Linked DNA regions of Kluyveromyces lactis. The protein of the gene in region 1 interacts with the protein of each later gene in a pairwise test. Links are inferred from orthologs where the notes say so. Each region holds a gene or a part of one and is shown on either strand. Other genes may lie near its edges.

What was found. The genes of interacting proteins can lie anywhere in the genome.
Region 2: the proteins of SCD6 (region 1) and EBS1 interact in a two-hybrid assay, tested with the Saccharomyces cerevisiae proteins (2 studies listed by BioGRID). The link is inferred for Kluyveromyces lactis from reciprocal best matches to the Saccharomyces cerevisiae genes SCD6 and EBS1.
Region 3: the proteins of SCD6 (region 1) and KOG1 interact in a two-hybrid assay, tested with the Saccharomyces cerevisiae proteins (2 studies listed by BioGRID, with this or other methods). The link is inferred for Kluyveromyces lactis from reciprocal best matches to the Saccharomyces cerevisiae genes SCD6 and KOG1.

The regions. Positions count from the first base shown.
Region 1 is NC_006038.1:986,062-988,939, reverse strand, and holds SCD6 (Scd6p), read left to right. Parts: upstream 1-1,329; coding exon 1,330-2,220; downstream 2,221-2,878. Other genes in the region: ANT1 (Ant1p), read right to left, coding at 1-647; peptide alpha-N-acetyltransferase complex B subunit NAT3, read right to left, coding at 2,396-2,878.
Region 2 is NC_006042.1:1,926,838-1,931,030, reverse strand, and holds EBS1 (Ebs1p), read left to right. Parts: upstream 1-1,263; coding exon 1,264-3,972; downstream 3,973-4,193. UniProt on the Saccharomyces cerevisiae protein: Plays a role in nonsense-mediated mRNA decay (NMD). Recruits UPF1 to cytoplasmic mRNA decay bodies (P-bodies). Negative regulator of gene expression. Inhibits translation most likely through effects on eIF-4E (CDC33). Involved in telomere maintenance.
Region 3 is NC_006037.1:828,855-833,047, reverse strand, and holds the start of KOG1 (ubiquitin-binding TORC1 subunit KOG1), read left to right. Parts: upstream 1-1,263; coding exon 1,264-4,193. Other genes in the region: Elongator subunit IKI1, read right to left, coding at 1-618. UniProt on the Saccharomyces cerevisiae protein: Component of TORC1, which regulates multiple cellular processes to control cell growth in response to environmental signals. Nutrient limitation and environmental stress signals cause inactivation of TORC1.

The DNA.
Region 1 (2,878 bases):
AGGACTAACGAGACTTTCAGACTTTTCCAGAATCCAGTAATCCCATCCTCATCATAAACCTCCTTGGCAATAGCCTTGAAACTGTTGTCCCCTTCTAAACCACGTCTAGTCTGTTGTTTTGTCGAAACAATGTTGATTGGATTAGTGAATAACTGAGAGGTTGCTGCTGCCAGCATGGAAAGCAGCAATTCTTCAATTGTTGAAAACCTGGCAGCCTCACCCTTCACTTTCTTCACACGGAAATAATGTCTTCTGATCAAGGTATACCAGAAGAAATAAGAGAAACTCTGTATGAAAGTTCCAAGCAATGATGCGCTTAACCCATGGTATAATCCACCAAACCCTTCATTCCGATAAACTTTTACAATCACATCTAATGCATGCTTATACCGCTGCTCCAATGACTCTTTAGTCGCTGTCGGAGGTTCAGGCTTCGGTTTAATCTGCTGTATACCGTGTTTCTTCGGTTTACTGGAGCCAGTACTTTCCTTGGTAGAGACATCAGCTTGAACATCAGAAGAAGGGTACAAATCACCTTGTTTCAACTGAGTTTGAATCACAGTTTTCGCCAAATCAAGTGGATACACTGCCAAATTGGCAAACCCGCTGGAGACTGCCCCAACGAAAGCATTCTCTAAACTTGCCATATGTTACGGTGGTACGTGATTTAATTGACCCTGATCTACTAAACTTCGGCGTTTATAAAATTGATTATCTCCTGTTCACAATAAATTGTTAGAGGGGCGGTGATTCATTCAATAAGCACTGCAAAGTACTAAATTTACTTTTTTTTTTGATTTTATTATTCTCCGCTTCCAACCGAAGAGTTTAGGCTTGAAAACAGGAACATTTTGCACTTTACACCTTAGAAATTATATTCCATTTATATAGTAGTTACTTTCCCAGAATTATTCCCCAATTAGATGAATAGCGGTCACTTATCACAGATTATTTTCCAGTTTTTCGGCTGTAATGTCCCTTCTCCACACATTTTTTGGCTCTCGTCTGCCTCGAAGTGAGGATTCTTCGAAAAGAAAAAAAAAAAGTGTTGATATTGATCACGTGGTTTTGAAATGCCATTCGTCAACATCGAAAATTAATATTGAAACCGTCAAAACTATGAATTTCCATGCAGGTATTTCCAATTGAAGAATCTTTAGAAATCTAAGGGACTATGACATTGAATAATACTGACTGCATCTGCTAACGTTCGCTCTTAATTTAGAACTATTCCCACACTTTGATCGTTGTTCAAGAAGGATATTTGTTTGTATCTAGTGGGTTTTAGAAGTTAATTTATTGATTATAGAGTGTCCACTTTTTGAAAGGATGTCGCAATATATTGGTAAGACTATTGCTCTTATTTCGAATACTGATAACCGTTATGTCGGCTTATTGGAGTCTATTGACTCTGAGAAAGGTGTTGTTACTTTAAGACAAGTTCGTTGTTTCGGTACAGAGGGACGCAAGGGATGGGGCCCGGAAGAAATCTATCCCAACCCTAATATCTACGATACGGTGCCTTTCAACGGTAATGACGTTAAGGATTTAAACATTTTAGACGTTCCTTTGGAACAAGTACAACCTGTATTGCCACCTCAGGTAAGCGGTCAACCACCAGCTCCGTTGGCTAATGCAAATGGGCCCAACGTTCCTGCTGCGGTGGCCGGGTATGGTGTGTACGCTCCAGACAAGGATCAGCAGCAAGTTCCCCAACAACACCAGCAAAAACAGCAGCAGCAAAGACAGCAGACCCGCCAACAGCCTGTTACCGAAAAGAAAGTTCCTAACCAGCAACAGCAGAAGTCTGCGGCTCCTGCTGCTCCTGTGGCTGCGGTGGCTCCTTCTGCTGTTCCAGATTCTGAATTTGATTTCGAAAGTAACAACGCCAAATTCCAGAATGCTGAAAAGCCCAGAGAATCAGATATAGAACAAGAGAAGCAAACCTCCAAGACAGATGAGATTTTCTACGATAAAAAATCCTCATTCTTTGATTCCATTTCAAGTTCCGCCGTAGAAAACTCGTCTTCTGCCAAATGGGAAGAGGAACGCCAGGTCAACTTGGATACTTTCGGTCAAGCCAGACCAAGAAACAATGGTCGTGGCGGCTTCAGAGGTCGTGGTGGATATAGAGGTAACCGTGGCGGTAACCGCGGTGGCTTCCGTGGTGGAAATCGTAATGCTGCCAACAAGCCACCAGTCCATGATGTTGAATCTTAACAGAACCCCATTAAATACCTATTATCTCAACTACCTCTTAACACACCGGGAAATTGAAGCTAACACGAAATGAATCGAGCAATCTATCGAAGTAAAAGCAGGGAAAGACGCATGTGTAACATAGAAACACTAAGTATACAAATTTAAAAGCTATTATAATTTTAAAAGTACAGCATTAAAACCGTATGTCCATCGGCAAGCAATTATGTTTCCGTCCATCAGCACGAAGACTTTTTCCCTGGTCTCTTTCCATCCCATGTCTCATGTCAAAGGCATCCTTGAGGTCATTTGGTTTTGTTGACCGGGAAGGTATTGGATCAGTTTGCGAGTTGTAATATCCTACAACTCTTCTATAGACAGAATATCCCAATTTTTCATATAAACTGATCGCCAATTGGTTATTGCATTTCACAAATAAATCAATAAAGTTCACATTATGCGGGGAGTTATCTGTTATGGTTTTTAATGTGTCACATAGCATCGATGCAAGCGATATTCTCCTGAACCTAGGTGATATCGTCACAGCAGTAATGTGTGCATGCCAGTCTTGTCCTTTTCCCTCTGTTTTACCCATCATATATCCCGATATTTCATATTCCTCTGAACCGTGCAGCGGAGAAGTCATCTCTATGCTCTTGAACATTAGCGATGGCCATAG
Region 2 (4,193 bases), on another chromosome or scaffold:
ATGAAAAAGAAAATCAATGAGAAAAAAAAAAATTAACTGCGTTTTTTCCCCCTGTTCTCCCTGATTTCTTTGTCACATCTGCATTACTGATGGGATTTTTTCCAGATCGAGAATAATTTTTTTTTATAATTTTTTTGCAGTATTGTCGACATTTTTTCGCACAATATATTAACGTTTTGGATTTCCTACAAATTGTTTAACCCAGATAGTATTGAAAAAAAAGAATTACATATATATATATATGTATATATACTATGTCTGTGCATCGGTGTTATTTCGGATTGTTTTAGATCCTGAATGCTTGCATATATGTTTGATATATCCAGGCAGAATCAGAATCAGAATCAGATCAGGTCATTTATATCATCTATTCATCCAGTGAAACTAGAGAAGGTGTTATTATAGGGACAGATTATTCTACTTCTTTTTTTTTACTTTTTTATTTTTATACTCTGTCGGTTGATTCTTCATTGTATGTGTGTGGATTATTACACTCGCACCAAATTTCTTTCTCTTTAGTATTTATACTTTCGTGTGTGTTTGTTTTTGAATTTTTTCTTTCTTTACTGCCTACTTTTTGAACTCTCTTTCTTATCGGCACCATACCTCACAAACGACCGCCCGTTTATCACAGCACAACATTTCGGAAAATTTGGTGTGTGTGATACATTGAAATATTTCTATTCTATTCTGGATAAGTGTGTTAATAAATAGACATTTTCCAACCCAGGAAGTGAAGATATAAAGGAGATTCTTAGAGGAGATCAGACGGAAAGAAAACTCAAATTTTGGCCCAGCTAGAAGAATAGACGGAAATAATATTGAAAAATTTAAAAAAAAAAGTAAACCTTTCTTTAAAAAATTCGTCAAAGAACAAGGCAAGAAAGATTTACAAAAATTGAGGAACAAAAAAACCGTTATAAAGTAAGAAACTAAGGTAGAGTTTTTTTTTTATCTTAGGTTTTCTTTTTTATTCCGTATCATAGTTGTTATTTTTTTGGTCTTTTGATTTATTCAGTCCCTGCTACTCAAGTAAGAAGATTAGAGAAAGGTCTCACTCATAACTTGTTCGTCTCCTGTTGTCTTTGTTGATTTTTACAGGTTTTAGAATTAAGCTTTCTCTGTTATTGAAGGAAAGAAGAAAGAGCTTCAGATTTTTTTTTTCGGTGTTTCTCCCACTCACAACGACGATAATAGTACTAATACCTAATCTTAACACTCTTTTTTGTCCTGTACCCATTGGATGAGCGTATACGTTATAAAATGGATCAAAAACTGAATACTGATTTACAGGAAACCTTTTCCGGGTTCCAAAAACAGTTACAATCTGTCCTGGAAACCGATTTCTTTAGAGATGACAGCTTGATGAAGGGCGCTATTCAAATGATACATTCAAAAATCATGCAGATGTTGCTTCAGTCGCTTATACCGGAAGGCCTTCATCAAGATATTACTACTGACACCGGATCAAAAAAATCGGAGATCCGCTCGTCAGATGCACATCGTATTTTGGACTTGACTTGGAAGCACGTCCATTACCCCATATTCAAGTATTTCCAAAATTGGAGAAATAGGAACGTTGCAGAGGGTTCCAGACCGAACTATGCTGGTCACAGGCAATTGAACTCTATTCTACAAAAAATCTTCCCACAGATCCATAAACTTTACTATTCAACGCTAGAACTTATATTCGCAAATTACAACCTTACTGCATTGATTCCCTCGGATACTAGATCGAAATTGAACATCTCAACGAAGAAACTGAACGATGATGCTTCAAATGTTTTAAAACCAGAGGACTCTTTTTCTATTGATTGCGTCATGGCATCACAAAGATGTTTACTCTACATCGGATGTTCCCAAAGATATAAGATCATAATGGAACATTTGTCCGACAGATACCAACAGGCAGATTTCCAGAAACCTCTGAGATATCTGGATATCGCTTCCACTATCGTGCCATCTGTAGGAGAAACTTTCTTACAAAGAGGTATCTGCTACACGCATACCAAAAATTTCGGCAATGCAGCTTATCAATTTGTTAGAAGCTCTTTGTCAAGATTACCAAGTGATGCTGGGATCCCCAACTTCACAAACTTGTTAGGTGATCCCAACGGATCCCTATTCAAGAAACTACTTAACTCCTTAGATGATTTGAAAGTGCAGGAAACTATTAAAAAAAGAATAATAAACATGGAAATTATGGAGTTTTATATTCTTCCATTAATCGGATCTCATATCTTCCCTCAGACTTGGAAGAATAATAGACATTCAGATCGTCTGAAGCATTTTCAAACTTTGCTTTTCGATAAGATAGAAATTAGGTACATTAAGAACATTTCTATGATTTTCCAAGATTTGATCCTTCTAATAGGTAGTTTCCACATGTATCAAATGATCAATGGTGTTTCTTCAAATACAACTTCATCTGCTGCAACTATTATGCCTAATGATAAAACACTGATGAACGGGAACGGATCCGCCAACAGTATCAATAACAGTGGCAACAGCAATATTAGAAGTATACAATCAGAAACCAAATTTTTAGAGTTTATCTTCAAGTTTTTCACTCACCTCATTGATAAAGTCATTATGAAGGAATTTAAAAACTGCGAGATGTTTCAGTATTTGGCAATGGCTAGAATAATGATGTGCTGGATAAAATCTCATAAAAATGTGCTAAAATTCGCCCATAGATCAACTTCTTTCTGTCAGTCTATGGTCAACCTCACAAACGAGTTACTGTCTAGTAATGATTTGTCGATCAGTTTCGAACATCTACATAGACCGACCAGAGATTACTTCTATGAAGAAGATATCATGTTAAAAGAATTTGGACCTACGAAATTCACTTTATCTGACTTTAATGATGAAAAGCTCTTATCCATGGATAACTTACCGGATAGGTTAGTTGGAAAGTCAAAGAATAAGCTTACCGCAAAGGAAGAGCACTCATCAAGAGTCCAAGTCCTAGTTTATTCGAACAAAAAATTCTTAGAGAAAAATTGTTGCGGTTTCAAATTAGATACGGAAAAGAAGAGATACGTCCATACAGCTGTTAAAAGGGTTAAAGCCAACTCACTGCCCAATATTGCTAAACCAGAGTCCGTAACAAAAAGCTTCTCCATCGATGGTGCTGGATCGGGAAAGATATACCCACAGAAAAATGGATTCAGTGTGGCTTTCACTACTAGAGAGAACAGTAACGCATCAGGTGGAAGTAGTATGGACATGTCTACATCGCCACATTATACTGAAGAAGCTGTGAAAGATAACACGACTCCTGCTAACCCTGTATGGAATTACAGTGGTTCTTCTGCTCCCCAACCGCCACTGAGTTTTAATGTCACGCCATCATTTTCCGTCTCAACCACAGTTGAAAGAAGTGAGAATGAAAAATCTTTCAGTTTGTACAATAGGACCGAGATGTCAAATCACGGCAACAACAGTGCTAGCACAAATACTAGCAATGGCTCTGTTTCATCTCCTTTTTCATCTATCCATGTTCAAAGTTCGTCCTCTTCGATACCACTGTCTTCCACTAACACCAATGGCAGTTCTACTGATTCCAGAGAAAATAGTAACGGCCTTAATGAAGCTCCTAAACTTAATGTCCAGAATCTGTCCACTTTCAACTATTTACAGAACGCTTCGCATGATTCTCAAATAAGTATATTTGCCAGGGACAGTGTTGTTATGTCATCCCAGGCGAACAACTCCGCTGGTCTGTACGAACAAGCTCAACAGAGAACATATATGGGCTCCCAATATGCCCAATTCCATAATCCATTCACTTCGTTCTCACCACAATTTGACAACTTGCAAAATCAAGAAAACCATCCTCAGAATTCAACTAATATCAGAAGGGACTCTCAATTCTTTCCCAATAACAATGTCTCCATTGCAGGGGATCGTTTGCCTTCAATGGCTGAAAAGGCTGATGATCAATTCAACTTTTTCTTTTATTCATAGCGCAAAATAATAGTTCTCGGATTGAAAAATGTGTTTACCTTTCATGTACTGAAGTGATTCACATATAATTATTTTTAACGCCTTGTTTTTCTCTATTCCTTAGTTACTGAAACGACACTTTTTTAAATTTTATCTTAATTATTCCAAATTTTGGTTGTAATGTATGTGTCTATATTTTGTATGTTCTTTTATTTTATCTTATTTTATTTTGTTGATCCTCA
Region 3 (4,193 bases), on another chromosome or scaffold:
AGCCCTACCGGACTTTCGCTTGTTCGTTAGAGTGATATAATATGTGGGATTGTTCAAGTTCTTGGGTATCACAAATCTACTTAAATCTGCATCCAAATCGTCCTCGTCTATGGAAGTCTTCGGAGTAACTTCTATAACCGTATTAGCAATAAATTGCAAGAGTTGGATCGCAGTTGGATAGTTCTGGAGTTCTGCTGGACGCCAGGCTGGTATCGACTGATGATATGTAGCCAATATTGTCACAAATGGCGATGCAATGGTAGATATGAATTGTGTCAAGCTTTCAGAACCGATATAATTGAATGTATCAAAGATCACTAAATGCATCTTAGGAGCTTGTTCCTGTGGCTGCGGTAGGTATGGTTGTAATGCTGCAACTAGTTGCTGGGTGGTTTTCCCCGACGCATCTATGAATTGGCGTGCATATTTCGGTCTATTTGGAGTCTCAAATGATACGAAAACGATCGGCATTTCGTCTGGTATGTTATCTAGGAATTCCTCAACCACAAATCGGCTGCTTTGTGCCATCGTATCGGTACATAGTATTAGCGAAGATTGTTCCTTCAGTGAGAACGTCCTCTTCAATAGAACTTTGGGATTATTATTAGTAGAAGCCATCTCAGAGAATAAAGAGCACGCAGTATATTCGTGATAGATCAGATACCCTGAAAGAATGCTGTAACAGTCGAAATAGATGAAAACAGGCTACTCATAAGTACTAGTTCCCCGCATGAACCTTGATCTTATCTCATCTCATCGCCTGTCAAAGTGAATATTTCACCAAGCATTTGGTATGTGAAATTGCATATTTATAACGTAGATCAAAATAAAAACACATAAAAGTATCCAATAACGGTCCCATTTAGTGCACTTGAAAGCGCAAACCAGTAAAAGTTAGATAAACTGTGGTTATTAAATATCTGGGTTACAATCGAGGGGGTATTGAAGTGGTTGATATAACTTTATTGGATATCTTCCCAACGTTACCCTGATATAAAATATTCGGGTAACAATATACTCAAAGTGTTTGCGTAAAAATACTGTAAGCTCATATACAGATACTGGTCAGTAAGTGTGGAATGATTGGAAAGATAAGGTTTTTGAAGAGCATTTAGTGGGTTTGAAGTCAATTTAGCGAGTCTTCATTGACTAGCAGTTAGGTAATTACTATTTGTACGATTTTCTGCGTTTAAATTTTGTCAGAATCGACCGGTACTGCCACTTTTATCAGAACCAGTTGTGAATAGAACCAATCCTGAAGCAATGGTTGTTTACGGCCCACAGCCTTTGACACGGCTTAATACTGAGACTAGACATGGGTTTGAAGAGCAGTATTCAAGTGAGAAACTCTTGGAGGCGCATGCTAGCAATTTTATATTTTATTACGATGATAAGAGGCATCGAACCAATGGGAATCCAGTTCCTGAGGAAGTGAAGCAAGAGGATAAGGATGGATATTACCAGCCAATTCCTGATTGGAAAATAGTTAAGGACAGGCAGAAGACAGTTGCAGCAGCATTATTACTATGTTTGAATTTGGGAGTGGATCCTCCTGATGTGACTAAGACTCAGCCATGTGCAAGACTTGAATCATGGGTTGATCCCCTTGCATTTCAGGATTCTAAGAAAGCTATTGAACAAATAGGAAAGAACTTACAGAGTCAATACGAGACGCTATCACTACGTACTCGTTATAAACAGAGCTTAGATCCCTGTGTGGAAGATGTGAAACGCTTCTGTAATTCATTGAGAAGGGCTTCGAAAGACGAAAGAATTCTGTTCCATTATAACGGTCATGGTGTACCACAACCAACACCATCTGGAGAAATCTGGGTTTTCAACCGTGGATATACTCAGTATATCCCGGTTTCATTATATGATTTACAAACTTGGCTAGGAGCCCCTTGTATATATGTCTGGGATTGCAATAGTGCTGGTAACATTGTATCCAACTTTAAAAAGTTTGTTCAAAAGAGATTGAGAGACGATAGAGAAGGCAATCATGATATGGCATCACCTTCACCTACAGAAGCATACACTGAATGTGTGCAATTAGCGTCATGTGCAAACAACGAATTATTGCCCATGAACCCTGAATTACCCGCAGATTTTTTCACCTGTTGTCTAACGAATCCAATAGAAATATCTGTTAAGGTGTTTCTAATGCAATCTCCTTTGAAAGACACCAAATATTCCGTGTTCTTCCAAGATAACGATCCTAGAAGAAAAGAGACGGGTGTGAATGAAATGCCTAACATTACGATACCGGGGAAATTGTCTGAGCGTAGGACTCCCCTTGGTGAATTGAATTGGATATTTACTGCTATTACAGATACCATTGCATGGACATCATTACCAAGAGCACTATTTAAGAAGCTATTCAGACATGACCTCATGGTCGCGGCATTATTTCGTAACTTTTTACTCGCCAAAAGAATAATGCCTTGGTACAATTGTCATCCAGTATCAGACCCAGAGTTACCAGACTCAATTGCTGATCATCCAATGTGGAGATCGTGGGATCTAGCAATCGACGAAGTATTGACCAAACTTCTGGAAAGTGCTCATGCTAATGCAAAGAATTCAAACTTCCCTGAATCACAGTTTATAAGCCAACCAAACGAAGGCAATGAAACCAATGACGGGCTGCAATCGAAAAATACTATTGGAAACCTGAGCTCCATGTCATTGGTAAACTTTAGTTCAACAGCACATACCTCCAGCGGTAATTCAGCCTCGCACCCGACTACCTCTCAACAACAACAGCAACAATTTACGAAATTTTTTGAGCAAAATTTAACCGCATTTGATTTATGGGTGAAATATGGGGCTAATTCAAGACATCCACCTGAGCAGCTCCCCATAGTACTACAGGTTCTCTTATCACAAGTCCATCGTGTTAGGACTTTGGTACTGCTATCTAGATTTCTTGATCTTGGACCATGGGCTGTATACCTATCACTTTCAATTGGGATATTCCCTTATGTTTCCAAACTGCTACAAAGTCCTGCCCATGAGTTGAAACCAATTCTAGTGTTCATTTGGGCTAGAATTTTTTCTATTGACTATAAAAATACCCAAACAGAACTTATAAAGGAGCGTGGATACCAATACTTTGTAAAGATGCTTGTACCTGAGTTTGGTGTCCCAAGAGGACATAGTGTCAGTAGTGCTGGAAGTCCCTTGACTATGAATGTACCTGCAAGTTCTTCAACACAGAGGTACCAGATGTATCAACAGCAGCAGCAGCAGCAAGCATATAATAACGCGACGTTATTATCTAACAATAATACTACAGATGAACAAAAGGCAATGGCAGCATTTGTCCTATCGTGCTTTGTTCGCGATTTCCCCCTTGGTCAAAAACACTGTTTCAGCACTGAATTAGTAAACAAGTTATGCTTCTTTATCGAAAATTCTGAAGTTCCGTTATTAAGACAGTGGTGTATCATTTTACTTGGTCAGTTATACATTCACAATCCATTGCATAAGACATTATGCCTCGAAAATGAAAATATGAATACAATCATAGAGTCTTTAAAAGATCCAATTCCAGAGATCAGATGTGCTGCGTTATTAGCAATCAAGTACTTCCTTTCTGAAGAAGACGATGTTAACATTATCTTGAAACTCCAACAAGAATTTCAGCAACAATTACAACAATTCCAAGCGCAGCTGCAGCTTTTGCAATCTCAACAAAACCAGCAGCAGCAGCAGCAACAGGGAAATCAACAGAATAGTACGCATCACATACAGCAACAATACTATCAAATTCAGCAACAATCCCAACAAGTCCAAACATCAATGAGTCAATTGCAAAGTATTAATTTACGCAACCTCAAACAATTTGAGATTAAGACCATTATCACAACCCTTTCGCTAGTCAACGATGGTAGTCCAATGGTACGGAAGGAATTGATCATCTTTTTATCTCAAGTTGTAGAAAGGTATATCGAATTTTTCACTGTAATTGCTTTCACTGAAATCAGCACAGAAATAGTTGCGCTAGAAACGAATGGCCATGAAGACGACTCAAGAAATCCTACTTCAGTTGGTCATGGTTCCATATTCAATACCGTGTGGAAAGCGTTATTAATTTCTTCTGAAGACCCATTTGTCGAAAATAGAGAACTTGCAGGAGATGTAGTAGATTACATCCTCATTAAGCTAAATGAACACAGTAAGTTGGCTGA